Mus musculus: one gene and its partners. The protein of the gene in region 2 purifies or fractionates together with the protein of the main gene of each other region. This does not show direct contact. Links are inferred from orthologs where the notes say so. Each region holds a gene or a part of one and is shown on either strand. Other genes may lie near its edges.

What was found.
Region 1: the proteins of Cdh2 (region 2) and Ctnnd1 purify together in Homo sapiens (affinity purification with western blotting; 6 studies listed by BioGRID and IntAct, with this or other methods). This does not show direct contact. The link is inferred for Mus musculus from reciprocal best matches to the Homo sapiens genes CDH2 and CTNND1.
Region 3: the proteins of Cdh2 (region 2) and Jup purify together in Homo sapiens (co-immunoprecipitation; 4 studies listed by BioGRID and IntAct, with this or other methods). This does not show direct contact. The link is inferred for Mus musculus from reciprocal best matches to the Homo sapiens genes CDH2 and JUP.

The regions. Positions count from the first base shown.
Region 1 is NC_000068.7:84,603,011-84,613,302, forward strand, and holds part of Ctnnd1 (catenin delta-1), read right to left. Parts: intron 10,080-10,292; coding exon 9,926-10,079; intron 9,540-9,925; coding exon 9,522-9,539; intron 9,083-9,521; coding exon 9,014-9,082; intron 7,881-9,013; coding exon 7,753-7,880; intron 7,649-7,752; coding exon 7,498-7,648; intron 6,713-7,497; coding exon 6,520-6,712; intron 6,065-6,519; coding exon 5,950-6,064; intron 5,407-5,949; coding exon 5,319-5,406; intron 2,237-5,318; coding exon 2,174-2,236; intron 743-2,173; coding exon 639-742; intron 265-638; coding exon of another isoform or gene 178-264; intron 1-177. UniProt on the Homo sapiens protein: Key regulator of cell-cell adhesion that associates with and regulates the cell adhesion properties of both C-, E- and N-cadherins, being critical for their surface stability.
Region 2 is NC_000084.6:16,585,040-16,596,101, reverse strand, and holds the end of Cdh2 (cadherin-2 preproprotein), read left to right. Parts: intron 1-5,748; coding exon 5,749-5,955; 3' UTR 5,956-7,225; downstream 7,226-11,062. UniProt on the Homo sapiens protein: Calcium-dependent cell adhesion protein; preferentially mediates homotypic cell-cell adhesion by dimerization with a CDH2 chain from another cell. Cadherins may thus contribute to the sorting of heterogeneous cell types.
Region 3 is NC_000077.6:100,376,912-100,387,973, forward strand, and holds part of Jup (junction plakoglobin), read right to left. Parts: intron 9,865-11,062; exon of another isoform or gene 9,585-9,864; intron 9,478-9,584; 5' UTR 9,470-9,477; coding exon 9,262-9,469; intron 6,744-9,261; coding exon 6,484-6,743; intron 6,335-6,483; coding exon 6,096-6,334; intron 4,967-6,095; coding exon 4,765-4,966; intron 3,778-4,764; coding exon 3,633-3,777; intron 2,715-3,632; coding exon 2,611-2,714; intron 1,517-2,610; coding exon 1,178-1,516; intron 88-1,177; coding exon 1-87. UniProt on the Homo sapiens protein: Common junctional plaque protein. The membrane-associated plaques are architectural elements in an important strategic position to influence the arrangement and function of both the cytoskeleton and the cells within the tissue.

The DNA of each region.
Region 1 (10,292 bases), on a different chromosome or scaffold from region 2:
AGATCATCCGCTGCATCCCAGCCTGGGAAGAGGTCGTGATCACAGAAGTAGAACCCTTGGGTACCATGCGGCTCAAACAAGTATCGCAGGCCTGATCAGATCAGCATGATTGGCAAAGAGTAGGCACACAGCAACCTCCTTCCTCAGGACCATCTTAGGGGTGACTGGAGGACATACCATGGGGGAGTAAGACACTTGGTTCCCCTCATCATCCAAAACCAACACATCCAACTCTTCCTCCAAAGATTCCTGCCCCTCGTCCTGCTGTGAACACATGCAATTTGTTAGTAAGAGAACCAAGGTAAGACTTTCTAAGTGTGTGCCAGATGGAAGGGAAATCCCAACATCTGTAAAGTGAACAAACCCTGTTAAGAGTACAGGGCAAACATCCTAAACAGGTAAGTGCAAGAGCAGGGAGATGTCCTCGAGAGCAGGTTAGTTAGTGTCAGTGACGTCAGCAACGCTTGCAAAATCCATCCACACAACCAATGAGCAACATCCCAAGAACCATCAAGATGCATCAAAGAAAACCTACCAAAAAGATTTGTCTTTTTCTTCCCGCCGCCTCCCATTTTATATATCATACAGTTTCAAAATAGTATTAGCCTCATACACAGCAATACATAACAAGGATTTACCATCAAGGGTGCTCCCTTCAATGGTTCCATATCACCCAGATCCCCAGATCGGTCCAGTGTTCTGTTGTGGTCTCCTCTCTCATTCAGTGTGGAATAGTTGTTATCTAGAGGAAGAAAGTACACAGAAATAAGACATTCCTTCTAGTATACAATGTATGTGAATATGTGAATTAGATTGTGAAATGAACTGTTTTAGATGCACCAACAAGATATTAAACACTGGTGCTTTTTAACACTTACACATAACTTGAGTATAATGGGAAAGATGGTGTATGAGAAATACCCAATACTGGGGATGTACTTCAGTGGTAGAGTGGTTAGTCTAGATTCAATTCCCACCACTGCAAAAACAACAAAGCAATAACAACAAGAAACAACAGTGTATCCCTTGGTGAGTGACACTAAAGAGACCTGGCCTACAAAAGAGATACAGCCCTGAAATTGAGAGAAGACAGAGAAATATGTTAACAATTGAAAGAAACTGATAAAGCAAAACACAACTTGAGTTTAGGTTTTGGGAATGAAAAGAATTTAGAAGAACAAAGGGGAAGGATATTCCCATAGAAGGCTTCATATACCCAAGTAGAATGATGAGATAGAATAGCAAATAGGAAGGAGGAACAAGAATTTGAGGTCATCCTCGGCTAACCTGGGCTATGAAATCCTGCTTAAAAAAAAAAAAAAGACCAGTAGAGAGTAAAGAGAAAAAACAAAGAGAGTTAGGGCTATACTAGTTATATGCCACATGAGACTTTCTGAGAACATATGTGGGAAGAAGAGGATCTATCAAGAATTCAAGGTCAGGGGGCTAGAGTGATGATAGTTCAGCACACTTGTTGCTACTGCAAGGGCCTGGATCAACTCCCATCACTCACTTGGTGGTTCATAACCAGCCCTAACTCCAGTTCTATGGGTTCTGACGTTTGAAAGCATGAGCCACCTGGTAAACACACATACATGCAGGCAAAAAAAAATCCCACTCGTACATACAGAATAAAATAAATTGGCTAGGCATGATAGTGTCCCAACACAGGGGAGGCAGAAATAGGTATATCCCTGTGAGTTTAAGGCCAGTCTGATCTACAAAGCAAGTTTCAGGACAGCCATGAATACACAGAAAGACCTGTCTCAAAAAAGAAAAAGGTTTTAAAAAGTTTTTTAAGTTCAAGATTGTCCCCTCCACAGCAACATGTGAAAATGTAGAAAAAGAGTAGACTGATCAAATTGTATTATAGTTTCAGATATCCTTTTTAAATGAGATAATCAATCACTTCAGGATGATAAATGGTAAGTCAGGTATGGTGGAGCATATCTATCATATCAGCACTTGGGAAGTAGAGGCAGGAGGATCAGGAGTTCAAGATCAGACTCAAGTGTAGTGAGTTCAAGACCTGACTATGTGACCTGAGACCCTGGAGAGAGAGAGAGAGAGATAGAGAGAGAGAGAGAGAGAGGGAGAGGGAGAGAGAGAATATATTCCTACTCACCCCAATTAAACACTATTCTGCAACATTAGACAGGAATTCACCACCTACCTAATGATTTTGTGTTTGACCCCATATTGCTCATTGGAATTTCTTCCCGGTCAGGTTTCTTATCTATATGGAATTAGAAAGTTACCCAAGTCAAAATCCAATACACCAGAATCTATATAAAGTAGACATTTCTTTTGGGAGTGCCATCTTTCCTTGCCTTTATTCAATAAAGTTTTACTCAGCACATAGTATGTGCCAAGACTAATCACAACCTACAGTTCTAGGAAAGCCCTTGCAGAATTCTGACCCCTTCCTATAGACACCCAAATACAAGAAACCTTTCAGAGGCATTTGTCAAGCCTGATGGCCGAATGGATCCCTGGGAACAACCTGTGGAAGACACTGAGCCCTTCAAGTTTCCCTCTGACCTCCACTTATGTACCTTCACACCCAAACAAAATAAAGAATAAGGGCGGGGGGGGGGGGGGACGGGGACGGGGACGACAACGACTTTAACAATATGGGCCATTACATCTCAAAGCCCCTTTAATCTTAAAAATTATAAGGGTCTAGCTAAAGATATAGTTCAACAGTAAATAAAGCATTTGCCTCGTCCTCAATCACACACATATGAAATAAATGAGGATGCAAATGACTTTCACTGGCATGGAATGAGCAGATATTACTATATTCAGAAATGTAAACATCTATTCCACATCAGAATTATTTTTTTGCATAATCATAAATGCCTTCAATTTAAAAAGCACTGTATGTGGGCTGGTAAGGTGGCTAAGGGGCTCAAGCACTTGCTGCACAAGCCTGGCAGTCTGAGTCTGAACCCAGAAGTCAGGTATAACTGCAAGAACAACCTCCCCTCGAAGGCCACAGTGTGTGTGCCCACAACACACATCATATACAATAATAAATGTTAATGAAAAAACAAACCTGAGGTGGGGAGCACTGTTGAACACTTTTATATATCACTTTTAACTCTGGGTTACTAAAACAGACTGAAGTAGAGCATAGTCTCATAATTTTAGCACTTAGAAGGCAGAAACACTACAAGTTCCTGCTCCGGGCAACCATGGTAAGACTTTGCATCAAGAAACCCACAAAAAATAGACGGGTTGAGTAACATTTACTTGTGCAGATTTTTGAAATATTATGGCACTGTCTCCCTGAGAGATAACAGTTTACAGAACTATGCAAATGTAAAATTGAACACATATTATTATGTATGTGTATTTTAAAAATACATTTATATCACCACTTATATAATCATAAAAGCCTGAGAAATTATATTATTATACTGTGTGTGTGTGTGTGTGTGTGTGTGTGTGCGCGCGCGCACGGGCATGAATGTGCATGTAGGAGGGAGAGGGGGGGGAGGGAGGGAGGGAGGGAGGGAGAGAGTGAGTGTATGTGTCCATCCACAGCATAACATGAATACAGAGGTCTGAAGACCACTTTCAGGGGTCAGTTCTCTCTCATCAATGGAACTCAGGCTCCTGTCAGGCTCAGTAGCAAGTGAACTTACTTGCTGAGCCACTTGATAGCCCTAAAGAAAGTCCTTTAAGTAGTGGGAAGTTACTAAGCTCTGAAACATGGGTATGATTTTCTGGGCTGTACTTTTCTCCTTTGGGATCTTGGGGGCAGGGTCTTATTCTACAGCTCAAGCTGGCCTAGAACCCCTATGTAGTCCATGCTGGCTTTAAATGAAGGGCAATCTTCCTGCCTTAGCCTTCCAAGTGCTGGGATGAATCACCACACTCAGCCAAAATTGTTTTTTTGGTTTTGTTTTGTTTTGTTTGTTTGTTTTTCGAGACAGGGTTTCTCTGTGTAGCCCTGGCTGTCCTGGAACTCACTCTGTAGACCAGGCTGGCCTCGAACTCAGAAATCCGCCTGCCTCTGCCTCCCAAGTGCTGGGATTAAAGGCGTGTGCCACCATGCCCAGCTCCAAAATTGTATTTTTTACTCAGGTAGAAAATAGTATCAGTTTTTTCACCAAAGTGATAAAAGTTTTTGTGTTTATTTTTGAGGAAATGCTTGCCAAATAATATGTTGAAATAATCACCACTTGTGTATCAGCTGCTTCATAAGGAAAAGTAGCACTCTATAAAAACAGCAGTCTAACTAGTAATGTCAATAGTCTAACCCGAGACAGCCACAGTGGCTCCCTACACAGCACCAGAGCTCCGAATTTCATCCATAGCAGTACACATCAAATAACGTGTACTTAGGGGTAGAAATATAACGTTTATAGCTCCAACCAGGATGCTCCTAAGTGGAGGTAACTTTCTAACTGTAGAATAGATGGGAATAAAAACGACTTGTTCAGAATAGCGTCACCTCATCTATGTTGGGCCGCCAGCAGCAAGCACTGCTGCTATGCCTTTGGCACATAAGTCTAAGAATCTTGGGGCCCTCACACCACGCTCCAAAAGCCATGGGTGGAATCAAAAGCCAAAAGCCTTATCTTAAGATAAGAAAGGTTACAGTATATACTTTTAGTGAAATAGAAAAAAATATATAATACTAAATATGTAATTCATCCATGATAAAGCAGTTTAAAAAGCTCTCCCTCAGGGACACAGAAAACTTGCCTAGAAAGCCTGGGTTCAAGCCCCAGTACCACACGAACACAAACACAATCACACACACACAGTATAGCAGTGGGTTGTTTTCTTGGGACTAGAAATAATGGACTTTATGGTTGTCAATGGTTTTTATTTTTTCCAACTAGAAAAGCACTAATAATTAGCCAGGCACATTAGTCATTAGAATGGAAATTTAAGAGAGGAAGAGATTAAACAGAAAACTGATTCACTCTCCAGGAACTTGAAGCTCACAGGCAAATTAAAGGAGCTGCACTCAGGTTACTAACTGTCTTGATTTTGGTTTTGTTTTCCCTTGAGCCAGGGTGTCGTGTAGCCAATGCTGGCCTTGCCTTACTACTGATCCTCCTTCCCCAATTCAGAGTGCTAGCTGGGATTACAAGTGTGCACCACCACACCCCTTACTGCTTTGTTAGATTCCTAAATTCAAACCTATTCTCTTACACATTATAACTATGATGTAAAACATTATTCCCCTACTCTGTGTCCAGCTTATTTAGAATAAATGCATGTCCTATTCTTAGTTAGTAAGCCATTAAAGAATTCCAGGAGCACTAAACAGAGAAGGCTGCACCGCTTGGCAACAATACCTGATTTTTGATTCCGGTCAATGAGGGGGAGAGTGCTATCATCATATGAATGGCTGCTCTGGCTTCTAGATGCATTGTTTAGATTCACCTGGAGACAAACATAAAACCCAGTGTCATAGAAACCTGAAGATGCCCACTTCTTCCTGGCCCCTCCTCCTAACCATGCACCTCCTGCTTCAGAAGCCCTTAAACAGCATGGGTTTCCTTCTCCACGTTCACTACCCAAGCCCTCACTCACACATTCTTCCTAAAGGGTTTAGATGCTAGGTGCCTATTGACAGCGATAACTCCTCAGAAAGAGTCTGAGTCTAGGCAGTAGCACATATCTATAATGCTAGTGGGAGACAGAGGTATAAGGATCAGAGAATGGTAAGTACATGGAAGGATCTGAGAAGATAGGAAGCAAGCTCACAGTGGCCATATATTATCACTATTTACTACCAGCACCATCTACTTACTGTATGTTCAACATTGAGAGAGTAGAACTACTTCAGCAAAAATAAACTGTGAGCACCACTGTACTAAAAAGTAGTGTCTTTACTATCTTGGAAAAGACTTGGACTTAGAAGAAACAGAAGACAGAGGAGTAAAAGAGAAGAAAAGTCAAAGTTTCCGTCAAGAGTTGTTGCACCTGGAAGTCTGATTTCTTCCATCCTTCTTTTTCCAGTGGCTTCCGAAGCTCCTTATAGCCCCAGATTGTCTGCAGGACAAGAGCTGCTGCCCGGACTTCTTTTTCTGAACGATTCCTGTGAAGGAAAGTAACGCCATACAAAGTTTAGTTTTCAGAACAGGGAATTTTAGAACCTATACTCTCTAACAAAGTGGTTCTCAACCTTCCTAATGCTACATATAGTTCCTCACGCTATGGTGACCCGAAACATAAATTTATATTTATTGCTACTTCATAACTTGAAACCCACATGTGAAAACTACTGCTGTAACAGCACAAGGATATAAAAATGTAATCATGGAAGTCAAATTTCACCAAATCCTATACTGTCGGAAACACTGACATAAGTAGTTTGATATAACAATCCATGCCAATTTATAGACAAACATTAAGAATGAAAATAGATCAACACCTCTCCATATGTCACAGGAAGGGGCTGTAATCTCACAGAATGGAAGAGGAAAATTCTTTTCTAAAAACTTTCTTCTTTCATACTCAAATTCTTTTGGCTGTGATTAAGTAAAAGCTCACCCTGATTTGTTGATCAACACCAGCTTCTCAATACCCTGCGTCTCTCGAAGCTTTTTGGCAGCTTCTAAGTTCTCAGCGATAACTTCGTTGATGGTGTTCAATATGGAGACCACAGTATCTTCAGAAAAATTCCAGGAGGAGTTCTGTTGACCTCCTGGCAGATTCTTTACCAAGTTAGGAATAGCATGCTTGCCTACAGCAGTAAAAGAAAAGGTCAGGAGGTGGCTCACAGTACAGTGATAGCAGGAATCAGGCCAAGTGTAAGTTCTAGCCATACAAACCAACTCCATTATCACATGAGATTATCTCAAAGGCGCAAAGAACATGAAACAGCCATAAACTCACTGCCCTTCATCTATTTCCTCAAGTGAACAGAGACAATGCAATGCTGGATATTAAATATACTATCTGGTCTCTTCAGACACACTAGTGAAAACAGTATGTTCAGTATAATCTTATGATAATCTATGAGACATAGCAATTTTTTTTTTAATTTTATTTTTTTGAGACAGGGTTTCTCTGTATAGCCCTGGCTGTCCTGGAACTCACTCTGTAGACCAGGCTGGCCTCGAACTCAGAAATCCGCCTGCCTCTGCCTCCCAACTGCTGGGATTAAGGGTGTGTCCTACCACTGCCCAGTGAGGCATAACATTCTTTATGAATTTTTTAAAAAATCAGTAACTTGGACTCTGCCACTAAGTTACTAGTTTAATTCTGGGCAAATGAAAAAAAAAAAAAAAGTTCTTAACAATGCCTATAGATAGAGAAAGCAGATAGTCAACAAATAATAGTGGTTATAATGTTCTAGAAGAATCATCACTTCTTGCTTTTTTTAAGGTGCACTAAACCGTGAACCTTCAACACTAAGAAACATAAACTATGGAAGACTATAGTATCCTTCTCTTCAGTGATGTCAACAAATGAGTAAACATTTAGTGGAATCCAGACACTGTGCTAGGCACTGGTTCAGATCCTTACCAATTAACTCTTTGTTCCGAGCATCCACAGCCAGATTTCTCAGTGCCCCAGAAGCAGCTTTTACTACTCGCTCATGCTCACTCGTAAGGAGCTCAGCTATGGCAGAGAGAGCCTTCTCCTGACGAAGAGCAGAGCGGATGTATCTGCCATACTAGGAGATAGGAAGCACATTGCAAGCGGTGAAAAAGTTACCGATGGTAGCAAACTACTTATCTACACCCCTATCCCCAAATCCATTTTCTTAGAGGTACTCACTGTCCAACGCCCAGCACACAAGTTCTGGATAGCTCCGGCCGAGGCTTCTAAGATGGCAGGCGTCTTGCTCTCCTTAAGGAGTGAAATGTATATTCGCACCACTTCTGGCTGAAATAAGAGTTCATAGCCTGCACAAGAAAGGGCAAGACAGAAAGCACTAATCAATGCCTACAAACCAAGCTCGGCTGCCTGCACTGCTGCTCCTGCATCACTAGGCACCTCAATTCCCCTATTAAATCATAAGCACATTCAGAGCCTTGATTTCATGTCTCTTTTTTCTTAGGTTTTTGTTTTGTCTTTTAAGACACGGTCTTGCAATGTCAAGCAGACTGGCTTCAAATTCACATCAATCCTCCTGTCTTAATCTCTGAGTAAGGACTACAAGCCTGTACCACCATACCCAGCTGATCCCATGCTTTAAGAATAACTACTCTAGCCCAAAGCAGTGTCATACACTTTCAATCCCAGTACTTTTGAGGCAGAGGCAGGCGGCTCTGTGAGTTTGAAGCCAGCCTGGTCTACAGACAGAATTCCAGGACAACCAGGGTCACAGTGTGGCCCTGTCTCAAAAACAAACAAACAGCAACTAATCCATGGTAAAAAGAGAACAGACATTAACTTAGTCGCATTCAATTCCCCTCTCCTTGACTTGTACCTCATAGCTAACTTTAGACTTGTTTGTACCATAAGCAGCCAGGCTTAATGATTCAACATGTAAAACAAAGTATTTCTAATTTAACCCGGTCATTCTCCCCATCATGAATGTAACTAAATGATAGACAGCCCGAGATTTAACATAATTTAATTAACAACTTTTATATTTATAGGAAGCCAGCAAGTTTATATTCATTAATATCCTGGGTCCAAACATCTAAAGCCTGATAAAGACATGTCTTCTAACAGTCAGGCTCAAGGTCCAAAAAGCTGCAGTGGCCATTCAGAAAGCTAAGTCTCTCTCTTTTCTTTTCTTTTCTTTTCTTTTCTTTTCTTTTTTTTTTTTTTTTTTTTTTTTTTGAGGCATGCTCTCCCTCTGTACCTCCACAAGGCTTTGAACTGGCAGCAATCCTCCTGCCTGCAGTACTAAGGCTACAGGCATGCACCATTATACTCAGCCTAGTTTTGGCTCTAGACTAAATACTGTGACTTTTCCCAACACTTTCACTGTAACCTCAAATCCATTAAGTCAGAGAGAAATGTTAACATAGCGCACAGAACATGTTACCATATCCAAAGTCTCTGGAGAATAAGGAGGGTAGCTTACCTCGAGCAGGACTAGTTCTTTTAGGGAAATCCACTGTATCATTTGCTGGATCCTCTGTAGGCTTTTTCCCTATGAAAATGGAGAAAGGGTGGAGAGAACAGGGGAAATAATTTTTTAAAAAAGGAAAGATTCGACCTGGCAGTTTTTCATCCTTCAGTCAGAATCTTCAGATCAGAGATGCAGCATCAAAAGAGGCAAAAGAAGAGAAACCCCACACATAACTGTCCCAACAGGATGATGCAGAAACAAGGAAGACCAAAACAGGCAGTAGACTGTCCAAAAGGATGACCACTCCTGTGGCTGTTAACTGAGTTCTGATAAAAGGGACTGCTGCCCAGAAACAACATGTAAAACCACAACCCAGAAGATTTAAACTTATTCCAATGCTTTCCCTCAACTAAGTTTTCCTACATGCATCCATGGGGAAGGTTAGACAAAGAGATATTAAGAAAGGTAAGAACCAAACCATGCAAGTTAGGAGACAAGCGCCTTAAAAGATTGCACTCACCTCTGGAGAACCACTCATCTTCCAGTGCATCACCAAGGTGGAAAGCGAGGAGAGAAATGAAGGAAGAAAACGCAGGAGAAAGATGTCAACAGGATCATGGGCAAGTACACAAGAAAGCAGAGAAGGAGGAGGAATAGGGAGGAAGACCCCGGTGTAGCTGAGTTCTTGTCCTTCACTGCCCCAGATGCCAATACACTAACAATCGTCACCATCCTCACACACCACCACCACCACCACCACCACCACCTTACCACCCGTCAAGGCATGTAGAACAAGGGAGGAGCAGCAACAGAGCAAAAGGACACAACTCTACTAGGGAGACTTCCACGCTATTTATTAAATCCCTATAAAGCTAAGTGTTCCTCTTGTCCCATATTAAAGTACTGGAACTAAGCAAAACTCACCTTTGCCCTTCTTGGCTCCAAAGCAACTGGCAGCGTGTGGCCCAGTACTGTTAGCCACAGTAGGAAGGGCCTCCTGGTAACGCTCTGCCTGTGGGATTTCACGATGAACTTGGTATGATAAGTTCCGGAGGAGGCAAACACAATTCTCCACAAGCTTAGGGACATAAAACAAAAAGGTTCAGTTGGAAAAGAGAATGCTTATGATGACTTCCAAGAAAATCCAAGTCTCCATGTTTTGAGTATTAAAAGATCAATCCTAAATGCATAACTCAATCCATCTTCTCTCAGGTTGCCTTGTCAGTACCCCAAGATCCTCAAAATTCTTGTTTCCTTCATGCTAACAGGGTGTCTAATTATAGACATGTAC
Region 2 (11,062 bases):
ATGACAGCTATGACTCCCACAACTGGAGAAGAAAAACCCAAGCACAGCATTTTCAGTGAGCAGTGTATGAATAAGTGGATGTGCGGATGCTGAACGGGTGGATCAGTGGATGAATCAGGGGGTGATTGAGTACTCAAATGATTGGCCAAATGGGTAGATAAGTTGTATTAACCATATAAAAATATGCAGAGGAGCATTACAATCACATTCAGGTTAGAAGGAATGAATATGCAAATAGTAGCTGTGTCCAGAGCACAACTTTTGAGTTTGGAGAACTGGTACTTCAGTAGCTCCTCAGGTTGAGGACAGGGCAGGCAGGCAGGGTGTATGGTCTAGAGCCACTGGAGCTTTCTCTAAAGAGTTTTGATTTTTGTCTTATAGACTACCTAGACATCAGACAGACCTTGAAAAACCACTACCTCATTCTTCTATCTCTGCTTCTCTCTTCTACTGTTTACTTAGACTTTTAATCAATTTTAGCTTTCTTAAATAAAGACAATTGATTTTATTTTCAGTAGGTGTCTGTACACCTACTGAAAGCCATCTTTCATACCCCTAGTGAACCTCCCTTATGTATGTAGGCCTTAAAAAGCATGGTGAAGGTTTTGCCTACAGGGACTGCTAATGTCATCAGTGAGAGACCAACAGTCATCCAAGGGAAGGAGCTGGAGTTCTAAGATGAGAGGAACAGTGAGGCGTCCCTTTTGCTCTGCTGCAGGCAGGACATGAGTAGCTGAGGCGAAGCTATGGCACAAAGGCTACAGAAGACAGACAGGAAATCAGTGGCTCTCTTTCTCCTTCCATCCCTCTTCTGTTCCTCTCTGCAGAGTGTCTTTATAGTTCCATCAAAGCAAGTCTCCACCCCAAAAGCATAGGGTACAAGGTCTATAAATACAAGCGCAGCAAGAGCTTTCACTCTGCAGAGGACCTGAGACTGCAGAAAACTGATGAAAGCACCCAGATAAATTTATCTAGGGTTCAAGATCTTCTCTGTGAAAGGTGAACCAAGAAACCATTTCTAAATTGAGTCAAACCTAGAGAAATACACAGTTAGTTTGTAGATTTCGCAACAGTACTTTATACATCAAGAGACATAGTATCCATAGGCAGGAAAAGAGTAAAAGATTCTGGTGTCCTGTGTTTACTCTGCAGTCTCTGACCAAATGGCTAGAATTGAGTTTTTCAGAGCTTGACTGTGACCTTTTTAGTAAGTACCTCATTCAGAAGGCTCTCGCTCTGTTCTGCCCCCTTTTATTCTGCAGTGCAAACCAATACCATACATGTGGAAGGGGCTTAAAGATCTCGATCTCTGCCTGGAAAGATAGCTCACCCAGAATTCTTCTAGGACAGTGATTTCACCTCTTTATAATTACAAACCCAGAGACAGCATACCATGCCCTACATTGCACAGTTATCTCTCACTAATCATCTTATGGCTTTAAATCCTTTTGAAAAGCAATGAATACAGATTTAAAACTACCATGGGGCTCAGAAACTAACTCAGAAGCTGAAATGTATATTTTTCAAAAAGAAAAGACTATTTTTTTAAGATTCTCAACACCGGGTGCGGGAATAGATTACCTCCAGCATTGTAATGATCTTAAGGAGTTGCTGAATTAAATCATTTAGACATTTGCTGAAGAGTCTTGGAGTCTTCTAACATGCCAGTGAGGATTTGCAGAATGCATCACTTGAGCACAGAAACATATGTCATCACTTTTCAGTCCCAGAATCCAGATGTACTTGAAGCCCTGCCATCCTGCCACTGACTCTTTTAAGATAGGGTTTTATATGTCACAGATTGGCCTAGAGCCCCTTGGGCTGGCTAGGCAACCATTCTGAGGAAAACCTTCAACATCCCCTCCTACCACTTCTGCCTAGTGGGTGCTATGGTTACAGGTAGTCACAAGCAAACTAGTTAAAGCAGTACTGGGGAATCAAACACAGGGCTTTTTACATGCTGGACAAACTCTTTACCAACTGTATAACATCTGCATAACATCTGCAACCCAAACTTAATACTTGTTTTCAAGAACTCCTTCAAACTAGGAATGTATATGAAGCTTTTTTTATTCTTCTTCTGAGGTCTGTTTCATAGATAGATCAAAGCTAGATGGTGCTGAATCATTTAGTAACTATATTTGTAGTTGCTAAATTTTATAGGAAAAGTGGGGAGGAGGGAGGTGATGCTAAAAACCCCAAAAGTGACTAAAAACCCCAAAAGGGCAGTCAGTGAATCTAGTTTGTTCATACCCAGGTCTCCAATGCATTTGAGTCCCAGAGCCTCAAGCAATGTGCCTTGCATTGAATAAGTAAAAAGGATGAGGGAGAATTCTTTGGCTTCTCAACCACGGGGGCTGCAGTAACTAATACCTATTGCTGGCTTACACCAGCAATGGCTAAACTCCTTCCTCAAGTTCCAAATCCATCAGTGGCTCTTGTTTCTTACCCGCATGTGGTTTTTATTGTAAGGTCTACGTAAAAGTAAAACCCACATATGCCACAGAGCATCCTCCTAGCTGATCAGAAAAAGGATTGTCTGCATCCCTGCAGAACCCTTACAGTGTCCAAGTTTCCTGTTCCTCACACTGCACTGGCCACAACCAGGTCTGACAGCAGGGCGGAGCAAGTAGAATGGGTCTCTAGAGAGGCTCTGTGGCATCATGGGTGTGTGCTCCCCTGGGAATTACTAAGGACAGCAACTGAATCTGCCACATAAAGGAGACAGGGATCCTGGGAACATGTAGGTTGTGGTTCTCAGTCTGCAGAGCAGCACTGCAGCTTATTCTAAAAATAAGGTAAGGAAAGTCTCGTCCAGAATTATTTTTGTTTTACATATTGAAGTGGTTTACTGAACTCTTTTTAAATTTTTACTTAACAGCCCTTTCTGGGGTGGAAATAGTATAACATGATATGAGGGAAAGTTATGCTTAATTATACATGGTTAGGATTGTTGGTAAGAAATTCTTGGCAGGGGGAGGGTTGGTAGGCTTTGGCTCTGTTTTTTGATGGGAGTCTAGCAGCTGCTATTTTATTTCTTAAAATAACATGGCTTAACTTTTATTTCAAATGTCATTGAAGGAAATTTTTTCTTTAAAACTAACTATTAAAATATTAACTGGTGCTCACTGAGTTTTTCTGTGGCTAACACGGTTGAACACTTGTACCCAGTATCTCTTTGGGCTTGTTACAGTCTCACATAAGTAAATACTAGGGGCTCAAGGTGAATTCTGTGAATGCTGAGATGTTGATTCAGATCCAGTCTGAGAAACATTACAGCGTACTGATGCGGATCTTAACTTTCATGAGTCTTCTTTATTCCTCATCTATAAACTAGAGACCATGCCCATTAAAAAACAAATTTCATCTGAGATTATTTTTTCTTTTCTGGATGCTGTGCCAAAATACCCTGAGAGAAGCAGTTCAAGGAAGAGTGGGCTTATTCAGGCTCAAAGTTTGCAGGTGTAGCTAATAGCTGTATGGAAGACAAGGGAGCATGGGCTTCAAGTAGTTGGTCTACCACATTCAATCAGCTGAGAGAGGAACATGTGCATGCTACTCTATACAATCCCAGGTCTCTTTTAGGGAATGATGCCACCCATGGTAGACGTGCCTTCCTACCTCAGTTAATGTAATCAATGTAATTTCCACACAGACATGCCTAGCGTATCATCTTCCAGCTGATTCTAGGTTCTGTCAAGTTGACAATGAACTCTAGCCATCACACATATACAAGTTAATATGTACTCAAAAATAAGCATATGGATTGAATAAATTGATCTCTCAAGGAAGACAATCTATGACACATTTCCACATCTTAGATAAAAGGAGACAGCAATAGGCCCGTCAGCCTCTACTGATCCAAAGGTGTAAGAGGACAGTGATTGTTTGAGAAGTGTTATTGCTATGTTGTGGAGAGGAGCTCTAGAATGGAATTGAGAAAATTCCCAAAGGGCCTAAGGCTGCTTTTGGAATACTTTATGGTACATAATTAATCATTAGCTGTAGATATTCAATTACATATTTAAAAGCACCTGTTTCCAGAAATTAGGAATGTAGATGCTAATTGCCTACTTATTTTTGTGTTCTTTATTTTTAAGGCTCATATACATATAATTTCATTTTAGAGCGACAAAATTCATCCCATCCCCAGTATTTATATCACATACAAGGATGGGGTCATGACTTTTCTTTGGCCTTTGAAAGTTAGAAGCCACTTTTTATTGACAAAAATATCTTAAATTTTTCATTATATATGATCGGTATGCAAGGTAGTGTTTTATATACAAATATATATTATGCATTGGGAATATTCGTTCCATGCCCCCTTACCCGCAACTTTTCCCATCTCTCCTTTCCTATCATACCGTAAATGCATTTACAACACACATCCATTTTTGTATAAAAGCATGAAGTGTAAGAACTCTAACCAACCAAGCACGCATTTGTCTTTCTGAGGCTTAATTTGGATCTACTGTGCTATAAACAGCATACTTTATCCTATCTTTTCAAATAGGAACTTTTCACACCATATAAATTAACTCCATATTCTAGGTTCCATTAAAAAGGTAGGTAATTTAATGTGACTGTCTATGTAGTATCACGCCTGACCTGTCATCACTTGTCCTTTGATAGTCTTCCAAAATTAGGTCACTGTCACTTCCTGCGTGGATTCAGAGTCTTCCTGCTCATAGAAGATTTTGTTTTTCAGTTCCCTGACACTCACCTAGTTTTCGTAGTTCTGGTACTTCTCATTGCCTTCCGGGTAAACTATATTCTTTTGTTTTTGGTTTTTGGTTTTTCAAGACAGGGTTTCTCTGTGTAGCCCTGGCTGTCCTGGAACTCACTCTGTAGACAAGGCTGGCCTTGAACTCAGAAATCAGCCTGCCTCTGCCTCCCAAGTGCTGGGATTAAAGGCGTGTGCCACCACTGCCTGGCTGGTAAACTACATTCTTAATGGGCAGATGACCATGAACCACTTGGTCCTGATATATATGTCCTACTCTTTGCTACACATGTAGTTTGTATTTAAGTTCTTTTTTTCTCCCCCCTGAGACAGGGTTTCTCTATATAGCCCTGGCTGTCCTGGCATTTACTTTGTTGACCAGGCTGGCCTCTGCTTCCCCAGTGCTGGAATGAAGGCATGTACCACCACGCCCAGCTCTGCATTTAAGTTCTTAATTGCTAAAATTCCTATCAGGGTCCGTGCCTCACATAGACCTTTGTGTTTGTTTCATATGCTCTGATCTACTGGTAAATTAAATTCATTAAATCACCCTTTCAAAACTGCTCTTATCCCACAGACTTTTAGTCATGTTTATTCTGTGTTCTACCAAGGAAAGTATTGTTCATCTTCACGGATTGAATGATTTTGCTGTTTTCATCGTAATTACCATGTTAAAATTTAGCTTGCATTTCCATGAGTACATTCTCTTATCCTAGCCATCGGGCTCCATATAGCATGTCAGTTAAGATGCTCTTTTATCAGCTACAAACAAATGACCCTTTCTTCTGTTTGTCATACATGTACCCCAACTAGTCGCCAACCTCATTCTATGCCATGGCCATCCTTAGGATTGTTTCCTTGGAAAAGATAATTGTATGACTTCAAAGCCCCACTCACCACCACACCTTTATTTTCCTCTGTGCTGACATTTGCTGTGAACTTGCCAGTGGTAATCTATGAGCAAGTTGTGGTCTCAGTCTCTGGAACCCTCTTGTAACTCATTCATGTCTCTCCTAACCCAGGGCCTTAAAGCTGCTGACAACGACCCCACGGCGCCACCGTATGACTCCCTCTTAGTCTTTGACTACGAGGGCAGCGGCTCCACGGCTGGCTCCTTGAGCTCCCTCAACTCCTCCAGTAGCGGTGGGGACCAGGACTATGACTACCTGAATGACTGGGGACCCCGCTTCAAGAAACTGGCGGACATGTACGGCGGTGGTGACGACTGAACGGCAGGACGGACTTGGCTTTTGGACAAGTATGAACAGTTTCACCTGATATTCCCAAAAAAAAGCATACAGAAGCTAGGCTTTAACTCTGTAGTCCACTAGCACCGTGCTTGCTGGAGGCTTTGGCGTAGGCTGCGAACCAGTTTGGGCTCCCAGGGAATATCAGTGATCCAATACTGTCTGGAAAACACCGAGCTCAGCTACACTTGAATTTTACAGTAAAGAAGCACTGGGATTTATGTGCCTTTTTGTACCTTTTTCAGATTGGAATTAGTTTTCTGTTTAAGGCTTTAATGGTACTGATTTCTGAAATGATAAGGAAAAGACAAAATATTTTGTGGCGGGAGCAGAAAGTTAAATGTGATACGCTTCAACCCACTTTTGTTACAATGCATTTGCTTTTGTTAAGATACAGAACGAAACAACCAGATTAAAAAAAATTAACTCATGGAGTGATTTTGTTACCTTTGGGGTGGGGGGGATGAGACCACAAGATAGGAAAATGTACATTACTTCTAGTTTTAGACTTTAGATTTTTTTTTTTCACTAAAATCTTAAAACTTACGCAGCTGGTTGCAGATAAAGGGAGTTTTCATATCACCAATTTGTAGCAAAATTGAATTTTTTCATAAACTAGAATGTTAGACACATTTTGGTCTTAATCCATGTACACTTTTTTATTTTCTGTATTTTTTCCACCTCGCTGTAAAAATGGTGTGTGTACATAATGTTTTATCAGCATAGACTATGGAGGAGTGCAGAGAACTCGGAACATGTGTATGTATTATTTGGACTTTGGATTCAGGTTTTTTGCATGTTAATATCTTTCGTTATGGGTAAAGTATTTACAAAACAAAGTGACATTTGATTCAACTGTTGAGCTGTAGTTAGAATACTCAATTTTTAATTTTTTAATTTTTTTTAAATTTTTTTATTTTCTTTTTGTTTGTTTCGTTTTGGGGAGGGGTAAAAGTTCTTAGCACAAGTGTTTTACATAATTTGTACCAAAAAAATTACACACAAAAAAAAAAAAAGAAAAGAAAAGAAAAGTGAAAGGGGTGGCCTGGTACTGGCAGCACTAGCAAGTGTGTGTTTTTAAAAAACAAAACAAACAAACAAAAAAATAAATAAAAAGAGGAAAAAGAAAAAAAAAAAAGCTTTTAAACTGGAGAGACTTCTGAAACAGCTTTGCGTCTGTGTTGTGTACCAGAATACAAACAATACACCTCTGACCCCAGCGTTCTGAATAAAAAGCTAATTTTGGATCTGGTGACTGGTTTGAACTTTTTCCTTTCTCTTCTGGAGCTGCACTGCTTGTTGCAGAAACCCCAAGAGCTAGTCAGCCCTTGGGAGCAGCAGCCTCAGTGTGTGTGTTTGTCCTCAGCTTGCCCTCAGCCCCTTCCTACGGAAACGCCTAGTATGGCAACCACGTATTCCAAACCACTGCCACGTGACAGATCACCATCGGCACAGAAGAAAGACACCAGTTGTCTTGAAAAGGAACTTAGTAGCAACAGTATAAAAAGGATGTCATAAACTGCACTGAACACCATGAAATTGCTAGCTCTCCTTTTGTTTCCACCCAAGCTTGTGGCTTTGCTGAGGTGGGGGCTGGGTGTGGCTTTGGGAGCAGCAATGGACGCCGGCTGGTTCTCCTGTACTTCAGGGGAGTCTTTCTATGTCCTCAGTAAAGCATGCTCAGGCTTATCTCCTGACTCTAGTTCAATTTTTGTTTTAGAGATGTGTGTAGTATGTGCCACAATGAAGAACAAAGAGAGAAAAACAGGCTAAGTTTTATAAAACTGTTTATGTCTCTTACTGTGATTCATAATTGAATTTTTATGAGAATTGAGAGAATACTCACTATTTTTCTATTTGCATTCATAGGCATCACACCATATATTCATATACTTTAGACTTTAGAAAACATACAACATACCCTTCAATAATTCCATTATTTTCTTCCCAACATAAAGGTTGTTGTATATACTTAGTAAAATTTGTTTTTCTGTTGACTAACTCAGTGGGCAGTTCTTTGTTGTTACTGCTCTGACCTATAGATGCTAGGACTCTGGATTTCCGAAACAAAAACCTACTAAATTGGAACAGATTTGCTTAAAATGGATTCATAGATTATGCCCCCATGCTGTTTGTACATTTAAAATGAAAACTGAACTGACTTTCAAGTTCAAACATGAAATTTCTATCAAGTAGATATTTTTAAGTGATCTGAGTATAGTGGTACACATCTACAATTCCAGCATTTGGAGGCAAAGGCAAGAGGGTCATCACGCGTTAGAGACCACCTTGCTCTGAAAAGCAAGTTCCAAGCCAGGCAAGGCTATATAGCAAGAGCATGCCTCACACACACACACACACACACACACACACATTTTCAAAACTTTAATTTTTACAGATACTATCCACTGCTATTGTTCCTTTATAAAAACATTTCTAAAACAGATTTCAGAAAACCAGTAAAGAGTAGATGGTCTCATTTGGCCACAAATGGATTTTCTATTCAACTGGTCATAATTCATGGTTCTTTTTATCCAAATAATTTTATACACATTTGCATATAGATTTTATATCAATTTATATTCATAAAAATAAGGTTACATATTATATATTTTTCTGTGACTTTCCTGTGTCACAAGACTATATCTTGGATGCTTTTCCATATTACTATATATATTTCCATATTTTATATATATATATATATATATGTATATATATATATATATATATATATACTTCTACTTCATCCTTTTTAACTGCTACATAGAATTCCATAATATGGACTTAATAGGGTTTTTTATTGAATCATTTCTTAATTTGTTTCCTTTTTCATGATTAAAAATGATTCCACAGTAAACACTCTCGTGCAAGCCTCTGCATGTGGGAGTATTTTTCCAAATTAGAAGCTTGGAGATGGAATTACATGATTCAAGAAACCAGAGTGAAGTTAATTAAACATAGCTAAAATTATAAATGTTTGGTATTGCTTCAACGAGCCTTTTAGCTAAAAGAAGCAGCTTTGTAAAACCAGCTACAGAATGCAAGCTGGTCTAAGCAAGACCTTATTCTCTTTTCTGTGCAAAATACCCATAAAGTCAAGCCCTGGAATAGCTTCAGGTGTTCTGCAAAATGGCTTACATATGTAATTAATAAAGCCCACGAATCTACTCCCCCTTACTCGCAGCAGTTTGGATGTAATGCACATTAAAGGTTTGCCGGGAGGGGACTTGTGAATTGGCCTTTGCTTCCAAGGCACCCTGAACCCTTATGTGGAAGAATATTCACTCAACAATCATTCTCTCACTTCAACACATACAGTACGTGTGCACATAGTACTACTACCACTACCACCAATAATAATAATAATAATAATAATAATAATAATAATAATAATAATAGAAGTTTGCCATTCAGATGGGCACCATGAGGTTCCTCCTGAAGATCTCTCTCTTTATGTGTAAAGTATCTATGTTGCCTCAAGTCTGTTTTCTTTCCCCTATGGACTTTATCATTTTTGCCCCGACTAATAAGAAAGAGTTTGTCACAAGCTTTTTTTTTTTTTCCTGGTAGTTTGCTAGTCTTCTGAATTCACTGCAGTGTTTTTGTAGCACAGCAGTTTTTCATATTTTTTTTAGGATCCGCTATATTTCAAAAGTAGATTTCTGTGATTTTTTTCTCTCCCAATTTAGCACTTTCCTCCATCTTGATCCATAATGTTGAAAGTCAGCCTCTGAACAGAATGTCGAATGTAAGGTCTGATTTCCAGTCATTATTTGTTAAACATTTCAACCTTGACCCAGTCATGTGACACGGAATCTTTACCTATACATTTCTCGTGTATATAATGACTTCTTGGTCTTTTATTCTGTTTAGTTGGGTCATTGATTTTTCTGTTTGGTGCTATCCTGTCATTTAGATAAGCCATTTCCCATGATGGTCTCATCAATAAAGATTTTCTATTATTTATTTTTCTGCATTTTCCTTGTTCATGAGTTTCAGAAATATTTTGTCAAGTACGACAACAAATTGTATTTCATCTTTTACTGAGTTGTAGAAAATTAATAATGTCGCTTCCCGTCCAGTTCTCCATATTTTCATACTATAGGGACTTACTAAACATCTAAATTGTGTGCTTTATTTTGTGCTTTTTATTATTAGGAAAGGACTTTCCTTCACACTGCAATCTCTACTCCCCTGCTTCTCTTACGGGTCTCTCTCAGGTTGGCTGACTTTGATCTCGCTGATTTCTGCCTTAGGTTACCTTTCTACAAGGGTTTTAATATACTCTGAAAACTCTCTTCTTTATTCCTAACAGAGAAAAATGGCAAGACTTATTCCATTCTTAAGACTAATAGTTGGACCTTCCCCTACACTGTTGTGGTAATAATCATACTGATTGTTCTTTTCTATAGTTGGAACACCATATTTCACATTATACATAACGTTTATTATAGATCGTAACTGAGCTTCTGAATTTTATAAACGGTTTCTTTTGTTACATAGATGACTAGTAATGCATTAATTTGCTGAATTATGTTATTACTCTTAGATGCTATAGTCTTGACTCTAACTCTTCCTGGCATGAGCTCAGCCTGTCATGTCTTTCTTTTAACGGACTACTGTGTTTGCCATTATTTTACTTAAGAGCCTCAATACACACTGTTCTATGCCTCTCTGATTCTCATGATTCTTGCTAAGTTTTAGTCACAGATTTATACTAGTCTAAAATAAATAGTTTGGTAAAAAATTTTCCATATGCCCCAGAATGTTTTATATAAATATTTTTTATCTTTTCATTAAAAAATCGCTAATCTCTAATTTTACCTTTATTGGGTCAGGTTTTCTCAGTGATGATATTTCTCAGTAGTTCGGGTGTTAGGCTACTTTTTGACCAATTTCAACAATTTACATTCTTTTACTGCCATACCTGATTTGCTTAACTTAAAAAAGGAAAAAAAAAACTGACATAAAATTGCAGCCTGTATTATCTTTTACCTGTCTGCCCCATTCCTTAAGGTCTGTTGTTTTGTTTTGTTTTGTTTTGTTTTGTTTTGTTTTGTTTTGTTCTCATTTCTCTTCTCACACTCCT
Region 3 (11,062 bases), on a different chromosome or scaffold from region 2:
GACGAGGCGGGGAATGACCGCGGCCTCCTGCAGAGGGGCATGGTTGGCTGGGCACAGAGCCAGGTTCCGGATCAGGCCAATAGTTGCCTGGCAAGAAAGGAGGCAGTGATGAGTGGAGGGGCGGGTAGTCCTTAAACATCTGGAGGATCCCTGATCCCCGGCTTTAGGTATTTTGTCCTTCCTGTCATCTCTTCTGAATCTGAGTCCCACTTCAGCAACAACCGCAGAGTCAGGAGCATCCTGGCTACTCCTGGAACGGAACTGGGGGCTTGTGGGCGGGGCTGTAGGCACAGAACTGAAGGAATCTAGAGCTAAGGTTGGGGCTTTAGCTCAGTTAGGACACACAAAGGGTTGGATACCCAGCACCGCACAGAGTGGGTGTGATGGCACAGAACTTACCCCAGCAAGTAGGGAGAGGCTGAGGCAGGAGGATCAAGGCGAACCTTGGCTACAATCTGAGGTTAGCTTGGGATACCTGAGACTGTACTTTTTTTTTTAATAATAATAATAGTAATAAAGGAACTAGATTGCTAAGGTGGGACATGTCTATAGTATTCTCAGCAGTCAGGAGCCTGAGGCAGGAGGATTGAAAGTCTAAGGACAGCCTGGGTTACATCTCAGGGTCCTTGTTTCAAAAAATAGCCAGAGTCAGGAATGGTGACAAACACCTTCAATCCCCCGTACTCGGGAGGCAGAGGCAGAAGAATCTCTGTGAGTTCGAGGCCAGCCTGGTCTACAGAACTCCAGGACCATCAGAGCTATAGAGTGAGACCCTGTCCCCCCAAAACAAAATAAATAAGTGAAGACTCTAAAAATAAATAATAGCTGGGCGGTGGTGGCGCACGACTTTAATCCCAGCACTCTGGAGGCAGAGGCAGGCGGATTTCTGAGTTTGAGGCCAGCCTGGTCTACAGAGTGAGTTCCAGGACTGCCAAGACTACACAGAGAAGCCCTGTCTCGAAAAACGAGAAAAAAAAAAACCATATGGTGGGACAGATAAATGAAAAGACTCAGTCTCTAAGAGCAGAGCCAATGTTGAAGCAAAAAAGGCCATGGGAGCTGCTTCCTATTTCTAGGCCCTGCTCTTCTGGATCCTTACCATATATCCCTATGACCCTGAACATGGACAGACCCCTCACCTACCCCTACCCCAGTGCCTGTGGCCTTTACTGGGTACCTTGACCAGTGGCCACTGGTTTGGCTGGTTGAGCAGTTTCACAATGGCCGGGATTCCATAGTTGAGGCGCACAGAGTTCTGGGCCATCTCAGCCTCGGGGTGACGGCTGGTAAGGTGGCGCAGGGCACAGACAGCGGGCTCTGTGATGTCATCTTTGTCTCCGGCTCTCAGGATGGCGTGGATGAGCGCCTCCACGCCACTGTTCTGTGTCACCAGCGTCTTGTTTTTGCTGTTGTTGCAGGTCAGGTTGGAGAGGGTGCCCGTGGCACAGGTGAGGACGTTGACGTCATCTACACTCAGTTGGTTGACCAGGATCTTCAGCACACTCTCCAGGCCCTCCTGAGACAGGAAGCGCATGCAGGGTAAGGGACACGGCCATCTCTATACAGCCTCTCCAATAGGTCCAAGGGGGAATGGACAGGCCGAAGGGCTAGGGCTTGCTTGTATCTAGCTGGGAACCTTGACCTCACAGCCTCCCATGCCCTGAGGGAAGCCCTTAGCAGGAGGCTGAGAAAGGCTGGAGCGCTTCCACAGACCCACAGCTGCAGACCTGCCTCTAAGGCTAGTGTGCTTCATTCCTGCTGGCCGCAGGAGACCTCTGGTCAGGAGGAAGTTAGCAAGGGGAAGTTAGCAAGGGCTTTGGGGTCATAGGCCTCAGCTTTTAGCTACTTTTTACTTTGCTGGGCCTTCTCTGTCACACCAGGGGGTCCGCAAGCTAAATCTACTTAAAAAAAAATCCCTAATTCAAATATCTCTCTTTTCCCAGGGAGAGCTTTATAGGGCTAGCAGTGGCGCAGAAAGGGTCTAGGCCTTGGAGATACACATCACGGGGTCAGAATGACAGCTCTGCCACTTACTAGCTCTGAACACGGGCTCTCTCAACACTGAGCCTGGGTTTCTTCCACGATCAATAGGGCTGCTTGCTCCCCCTCTACATGACGGAGAGCGCATGCCCACGGAGGCCACGCAAAATGCTAGCCCATGGAGGATACTTGCTTGGTGGCATGGTGATGGTTAAGCATGGAGAGGGAAGTCTGGTTGCCTGCCTGTGTATCTGTGCACCATATGTGTGTGCCCGGTGCCCTCAGAGGCCAGAAGAGGACATCAGATGCTCTGTAACCAGAGCCACAGACAAATGCTCTTAACCACTGAGCCATCTCACCAGCCCCTGTAGTACTGGTCCTGTCCCAGAGTCTAGACCCAAACTGTCCCCTTACCTGAACCCCAACTTAAAGATGTCAGCCCACTTCCTCTTCCTCTCCCAAACCCTAAGCAGGACGAAAGCCCCCTACTAAATAAAGGTGTGACAGCCATCTGGAACTTTTCAGCCTTAGCCATGAAGGAGGAGGGCTCACAGGTCCCAGAGGTCATCTGCCCAGGTGGAAGGCTGGCATGGTTTAAGAGACTGGCCCAGGTCCAGACTCCTGTCTCACCTGCTTGGTGGCTACATCCGAGAGATTGCGCAGAGTCCACAGGCAGTTCTGCACCAGGCGGGGACTGTTGCTTGTCAAGTGCTTGCCCAGAGCCTGCATCCCACCTGGGGAGGGGACAGGAGCCTTGTCAGCTCCAAGGGAGCCAGATTGACAGGGCAGAGACCCTACCCTGAGTCTCCTAACCTTAGAGGTCACTCTTTTTTGTTTGTTTGTTTGTTTGTTTGTTTGTTTGTTTTGGTCTTTCCAGACAGGGTTGCTCTGTGTAGCCCTGGCTGTCTGGAACTCACTCTGTAGACCAGGCTGGCCTCGAACTCAGAAATCCGCCTGCCTCTGCCTCCCAAGTGCTGGGACTAAAGGCATGTGCCACCACTACCAGGCTCTGTTTTTATTTTTAAAGATCATTATTACTTGTGTGTGTGTGTCGGGGCGGGGGGGGGGGGGATGGAGTGGTAGGTGGAGGGGGGTTGTGTAGTACCCAGAAAAGGGCATCAGACCATCCCAATTTTTTTTTTTAAGATTTATTTATTTATAGCCAAGCATGGTGGCACATGCCTTTAATCCCAGCACTCGGGAGGCAGAGGCAGGTGGATTTCTGAGTTCGAGGCCAGCCTGATCTACAAAGTGAGTTCCAGGACAGCCAGGGCTATACAGAGAAACCCTGTCTTGAAAAAAAAAAAAAAGAAGATTTATTTATTTATTGTTATATATAAGTATACTGTAGCTGTCTTCAGACACACCAGAAGAGGGCATCAGATGTCATTACAGATGTTTGTAAGCCACCATGTGGTTGCTGGGATTTGAACTCTGGACCTCTGGAAGAGCAGTCATTGCTCTTAACCACTAAGCCATCTCTCCAGCCCCAGCCCCTCCCAATTTGAGCTACAGACAGTTGTAAGTCACCAGATGTGGATATTGGGAACCAAACTTAGGTCCTCTGGAAAACTAGCAAGAGCTCTTAAGGTTTGAGAACTTAAACTACCCTTGGGTTCCCCCACAAGCCACCTTGTGGTTCTCACACTCACCAGCCTCCACGATGGCGGGCTTGTTGCTAGGACACACGGAGAGCACCTTGAGCACACGGCTGGTGGTCCACAGAAGCTTCTCGTAGCTGTAGTTCCTCATGATCTGCACAAGCCCTTGGGGTCCCCCATTGGCCAGGATGATCAGCTGTCGGGGGTTGGGGGGGGGGGAGAGAAAGACTGAGTGTCAGACAGAAGGCATGGAGGGGTGGGGGGATGAAGAAGCTGTCTTTATGAAGCTTCTGCTAAGCTGTAAATGCTTTTGAGACTATCAAGCCAACAAACTCGGGGGTTTGGGGGGTGAGGACGATGATATCAAATGCTGGCAAGGATGTAGCAAAGGAAAGCTAGTCACAGCCACTACCACTGACAGTGATGAACTGTAGTCCTTTTGGAAAGAGAGCTAACCCACGGAGTAAGTCTAGACGTGCTTAAAAGTAAATAAATAAAAATCAAAAGACCTTTTGAGCTCTGCCAGGTCTGGTGTTGCACACCAGCAGTTGGGAGACCGAGACAAGAAGATGTAGGATTCCAGGTTAGCCCGGGTTAGTTAGAACCTGTCTAAAATACACAGGGGGCTGGAGACGGCTCAGGAGTTAGGAGCACTGGTGGCTTTTCCAGAGAACCTAGGTTGGATTCCCAGCACCCATATGGTGGCTTATAACAATCGGTAATTTCAGTTCTAGGGGATCTATTACCCTTTTCTGGCCTCCAAGCCATCTTTCCACCCTTCCCTCTTTTTTTTTTTTTTTTTTTTTGGTTTTTCGAGACAGGGTTTCTCTGTGTAGCCTTGGCTGTCCTGGAACTCACTTTGTAGACCAGGCTGGCCTCGAACTCAGAAATCCGCCTGCATCTGCCTCCCAAGTGCTGGGATTAAAGGCATGCGCCACCACCCCCGACCCCTTCCCTCTTTTCATCTCTAAGGACTGAATCCAATGACACTCAGCATCATTCTATTCTATCACTGAGTTATACCCTGATCCCTAATTCTTTTCTCATCCTTAAATCATTAGTTCTGAAGAATTCAGAACTAGGGTAAGACACACATTCATCTGTGTAGACACATCAATATGCCTTTCCGGAAGTGGCCAGAAGCCACTACGATGCTGCTGTAGGCTTTGGTGGAGGGACCCACCTTGCTCTCCTGGTTGCCATAGGCCAGGAGCTGCAGGCAGTCAGTAGTGATGGCCAGGAACTTAGGGTTGTTCTTGTTGAGTAGGGGCACCATCTTCTGCAGCCCGTCTGCCAGACGCACCGCCATCTTGGCGCCCTCCTGATAGAGCAGCAGGTTGTGCAGTGTGGTGATGGCGTAGAACAGGACAGATTCTACGGGGGAACTGAGGAACAGAGAGGACCTGTGTGAGCCAGTTGCCGGAATGTGGGTCTGGAAGGAGTCCCTGCTACATCCAGAGAGCTCACCCTAAATCAACACCCCCCATGCAAATATACCCTTACCAAAATCTCATCCTTCCTTAAGCACAAAGCTTTTTAAATTTTGCTCATGTGTGTGTGTGTGTGTGTGTGTGTGTGTGTGTGTGTGTATGTGAATGAACGTGTATGGAGGCCAGAAGACAAACTCAGGTGTGTACCTTAGGAACACAGTCCCCTTCTTTAGACACAGGCTCTCTTACTGGCCTGGCACCCATTAGGCTAAACTGGTCAGCCAGCAAGCCCCAGGGATGCTTCTGGTTTCTGCTTCCCCACTGCCAGTAAAGCGCTTTATGGCATCTAGCATATTCATGTGGGTGCTGGAGAGGTAAACAAACACTCTATTGACTGAGCCAACCCCCAGACCCAATCCCACCCTTCCTTTCTTTTTTCTTTTTGGACACAGGTTCTCACTATGGAGCCCTGGCTATCCTAGAACTCTCTGTATAGATCAGGTTGGCCTGGAACTCATAGACATCTGCATGTCTCTCGACCTCTTGAGGGCTGGGATTAAAGGAGAGCCCCACTATGCCCAGCCAGCCCCACTCTTAAAGACATTGGCACACAGTGCATCTTCTCTCTACTCTCGCATCTGAGGTTCCGCACGGTGCTAATTACATGCTAGGTCCCTGGGCAGCTGAGTCACTACTGTGTGTAAGGTCATACAGGAGAAGCTGTGGGAGAGGATAAGAGGGGAGTGAAATCAACTTCTACCCTCAAAGAACTCCCATTTACATCAGTACCAGGCCACGGGGTGAGGAGGAAGCACAACTGGGGGGGGGGGGGTCAGCCATGCTGTTCTCTCCTGCTAGGATAGCCTGCCCCTCATCTACTCTGACCAAGTATACTCAGTTGTCAAAGCTCCACCCCCAGAGTTGTCAAAGCTCCACCCCCAGAGTTGTCAAAGCTCCACCCCCAGAGTTGTCAAAGCTCTGCCTTTGGACACTCTCAACCATTCTTTGTAACAACTTGTATTGGAAGCCCAGGAAACGGGATGCTGGGAGGCCCCTGGCTCCCATGCAGCCGAGAAACAAGTACCTGAGCATTCGGACTAGGGCAGGGATGCCTCCAGACTTGAATATGGCGAGCAAGCCCTCTCGGTGGTGAGAGAGGTTGTGCAGGATGCTGGTGGTACACCGGGCAGTATCCAGGTCACTGGTGTTCTGCATAGTCCGCACCACCGCCGCCACCAGCTGGGGCGAGCCCATTAGAGCCCGGCGGGATGCCTCCTTCTTGGACAGCTGGTTCACGATCATAGCCGCCTTGGTCACCACTACCTGGAGGAAGTGTGTGAGACCTTGAGCAGATAGCCTCAGGCTCCTCCTCCACAGAGGGAAGGAAGGCAAAGGCCGTGGCATCCTTAGATGACCCCTCCCTCTGAGGACAGCCAGCTCCATCCCACCCCACCTCCAGGCCCTTCACAGACCGGGTCCTCATCGTTGAGCAGCTTGGTGAGCTCAGGCAGAGCCCGGGTGGCCAGCTCTGCATCATCCTGGTAGTTGATGAGATGGACGATGGCCGACTTGAGCAACTGGGATGGTTCGGCCAGGCGCTGCAGATTGGTTGTCTGCCCCTCCACCTGGGTGGCCAGCAGTAGAGAACTGTCCTCGCCTGAGACCCCTGGACACATGGCCTCCCGCACCCGCTTGGCTCTGGCCGTTGTGGACATCTGGTATTCCAGGTCACCTGAAAGCCAAATGACATAGGACTGAGCTACAGGAGATTTTACTGGGACCCTGAAGAGCAAGGCAAGCCTTGAAGGTGTGGCTCCAAGCTCCCTCATGTTTCTCCAAAGTACAGGGCATCACTCATGATTCTGAACCTAACCAGGGTCTTAGGGGACCATCATCGCCCTTGTCTGTATCATCCCATTGAGAGCATGAGGCCCTCCTAGCTCATCCAACTCTATGACAACCAAGATCATGATTTGATTTTAAAAGACTCATGTCTGACACCTATCATTACAAAAATGTCTGCAGCAGAATATGTATTTATTGAAGTACAGTTCTAGGAAGTAAACGTAGGGCCACATATTTGTTCAGCAAGCACTTTACCACTGAGCTATATTTCCAGTCTTTAAAAAAAGAATTAGGGGCTGGAGGAATGGTTCTGCCATTAAGAGCACATACTGCTCCTGCAGAGGACACAGGGTCCATTCCTAGCACCTACGTGGTGGCTCCCAGCCATATCTAACTCCAGTTCCAGGAGGTTCTGGCACCTTCTTCTTGCCACCATAAGCACTGCACCCACTTGGTATATATACATAACATACATGCCGGCACACACTCACACACTTAAAAAAATTAAAACTACTTTAAGTTTCCCAAGTTGGCTTTAAACTTACTTCGTACTCAGGTAGATCTTGTACTTATAATCCTCCTGCCTCAGCCTACCAAGAAACTGGGACATCATATACTTCTGCTACGATGGCCAGCTCAGCGGCTTTGGCTGGATGAATGCTTGCCTAACACGGTTCTGCTCCCAGCAATGAATAAAAGCAGGCATGGTGGCACACTTGTGCAATTACACTCTTCCAGAGGTGGCAGCAAGGGGATCAGAAATCGAGGGGCATCCTTGGCTACACAGTGAGTTTAAGACAGCCTAGTCTACATGAGACTGTCTCAAAAACAAAACCAGGGGCTGGAGAGGTGGCTCAGGAGCTTAGGGTACTGCAGTTTTATCATGAGGATCAGAGTTCCAATCCCTGCACCCACATCAGGTAGCTCACAAACAATGTAACTCCAGCTCTAAAGGCTCCAAAGGACACCTTCTGGTCTCCAGGGGTCCCCGTGCACATATGTGCACATAGACACACACACAGAAATGACAGACAAAAAGAAATACCTAATGGTGGAGTGCCTGTGTGCCTGACAGTGTGCTAAGCACCTTATTTCATCTGTCAACAATAATCTCACAAGGCAAGTACAATACTATCTCCAGCTTTCAGGACACTGGACACGGAGGTCCTAAAAACAGTGGACTCAGGAGCCCAGAGCCCCGCTGTTCCTCCTGTAACCAGCAGGGCAGCCCAGTCACAAGATTAGACAAGCTAAACTTCCTTAGTCTAACTACACAACTCATCCTCCATAGAGTAGCAACTCTCTCCCTGAACAGGGGGCCGAAAGAAGTCCCCGAGCACCAGCCAAGACCACATAGCCAATCAAGAGACAGGACAGGAGGCTGGCTTTGAGAAGGCAGGAGCAAGAATCCTCAAGGGAAACCCTGGGTTCTCCCTCTGGGTAGGCTGGGGCTATTCAAAGAAAAAGTCCCATATAGCCCTGCTATGGCCAACGCCCTAATGCCCTAGTAGAGAGGGCAGGAACAAGGTCATTCTCTAACTAATGGGGAAGGAGAGGCTGCCTACAGGACTCTCCCACCTATACACTTTCCTTTAGCTCCTAGGAGTACACTGGCCCAGCCAGGCACAGAGAGGTTCCAAGGAAGGAGACCTGGGACACAGAGGCTCAGTTCATAGAGCCCTCACCAGCCACAACTCATCCTGCAACTGTCCAGGCCCCAAATCTCATCCCCTGGAACATTTAGGGCCCTGGGGGCATCTGCGAATGACAGTCCTAAAGCCATGTGCACCTTTGTCCCAGAAAGGAAGGGAACATCTGGACTGGTAGAGTATTGGCCTTTGTGACAGGAACCTGTAACTGAATCAGTTTCCCCAGGCCCGTCCTCAGTACATCTGTATGTCATGTGCTAGCCCAGTCTAAGCTTGAACCCTGGGTGTGTGTGGGTGTGTGGGGGAGTATCCCCTGTCTCTCTCATCAGACATGAGGTTCCTGGAGTGAAAAGAATACCTTCCCAGTAATCTCAGATCTTGCCAGCCCCCACCCGGAGGGGTATCAATAAAGTCACCTTAGTACACTCCTGAGATCCCAGAAGCTAAAAACTTTGGGCTCCAATAGCACCCTGGGTCAGTGCCTAGGCCTCCCTACACGTTCAGAATTCACCCGGGTGACTTCTGTATCTATCTCTGGGTTGCCACATGTCCCCTTCAGACTTCCCGTGTCCTCAAGAGTGGACACTGTGAAGCCAGGCGTGGTGGTGGTGCATTCCAGCCTTCGGGAGGCGGAGGCAGGCAGATCTCTGTGAGTTCAAAACCAGCCTGATCTACAGAGGTGTTCCAGGGCTACACAGAGAACCCCTGTCTCGGAAAACCCAAAAGAAAAAAAAAAAAAAACCCTGGGGTCCAGACCTTGGTTCTGTGGCACCCCTTGTGTATAGGTGGTAGTCTTCTTGAGTGTGTACTGTCTGCCGCAGGCATCATCCTCATCCATGATGCCCTTGCTGCTTACAGAGGGCACACAGGTATTGACGCCGGAGTGGATGCCCGAGTCGTAGGTGTATGTCTGTTGCCACTCTGTCACCTTGATGGGCTGCTCAATAAGGTTCATCACCTCCATGGTGGCTGCTGAAGACAAAAAGACAGGAGCACAACATCAGCAGGCTAGGGAGACACCATTACCCCCAGTTTCAACTCAGCTATAGCTGAGATCTACCCTTCTCCTGGAGCCCTACCATAGCCTCAAGGGCCTCAGAGGGTTGCAGACAGCAAGGTGCAGGTGTGAAGCGAAAGGGCACCCAGCCCAGAAGACGGCCTGGGGCACAGTAGGGCTGCAGTAAGGTCATTAAGGATAAGCTCCATGGTTTTTGCGTTCTCTAGCTCTGGTGTGGAGACAGGAAACAGCCAGATCCCTCCAGCCTAGCACAGGCTCACTCACCAGCTGCCCCCACCCACCATTTCCAGTAGAAAAGGAACTAAGGGTTTCAGAGGGCTGCTGAGCTCTGTAGACCTGCCCTCGCTCCACTGGAGTCCCCTGGGAAAGGCTGCAGAGGCTGTAGCACACCGTCAGCCATTGGATGAGAGACTGGGTGGGGCAGGGAAGCTGTCCGACAGGTTTCTCTGGGACGCCCAGGGCTCCCTCAGAGTTCCTGAATCTCATATTCCAGGAGGTCAAGCTAAACCAGGGCTTCCTCTCCTCCAGCTCCCAGCCTTCTGAGCTCTATAGACCTGTTCAAATCTTGGCAAACTACTCCCTTAAGAATCTACCTCTCGTTGGGTGCCAGGGGCTTCAAACTCACGGTCCACCATGCTCAACTGAATGCTGTGAGAATAGTGCTTAGGAAGGACTCGCTATGGTGACAGCACTTAGTAGGTGTTCACTGTTGGGGACCAGGTTGTTGCTATCCTAACTGCCTCACCCCTAGGGTGTTCATTCATCGTCCACTTCCCGGAACTCGGGCTAGCAGCACGGAGTGGGACAGGCCCTCTGGGGTGGTCACTGCTGTTGAGGACTTTCACCTTGCTCTGAGGGCTTGGGGCCACTTTAAGGCCCATGGGCATCTGCACCTACTTGATGTGGGTTCCTCATTTGGTCTGTTTGGCACCACCGTCATGGGCACTGACCCTATTGCAACCACCACCACCTACATACAGACAGTCATGGAGAGAGATCTACTATGTGCTCACACCCTTCACACGTGCCTCCAGACCCCTCACCAATGCCACCAGCCTCACACATGGGTTTCAGAGCTTTGCTCCCCAGTTTATAGATGTGGAAACTGGCTAGAAATGGAACTAGAGAAGGGACCAGGCATAAGCAAGCTTGATGCTAAAGTCTTCTGCCTCTATACTCCAATACTGCAATACTGCCTCAGAGAATGAACAGAGCCCACTCATAAAACGGGGTGGTGCCCAGCATCTCTCAAACAGGTTGTTCCACCATGATGGGGGACCTGCAAAAATTAGGGTGGGGCAGCTGGTGTACTGAGAGGCGCCACCCAGGAACAAAAAGAATCAGGGGCCTCTTCCCAGTGACAGCCCCGGCCCCACCTTTCAGAGCATGACGACAGAGGGGCATGGTAGAACACGCCTGTCATGCCAGTACCGGGCAGACTGGGATAGAAGGTTCACCAGTGGGAGACCAGCTACAAAAGGAGACACTGTTTCAAAGAGGGGGAAAAAAAAAAACCCCGGAAAGGTTGATGAATGTTCT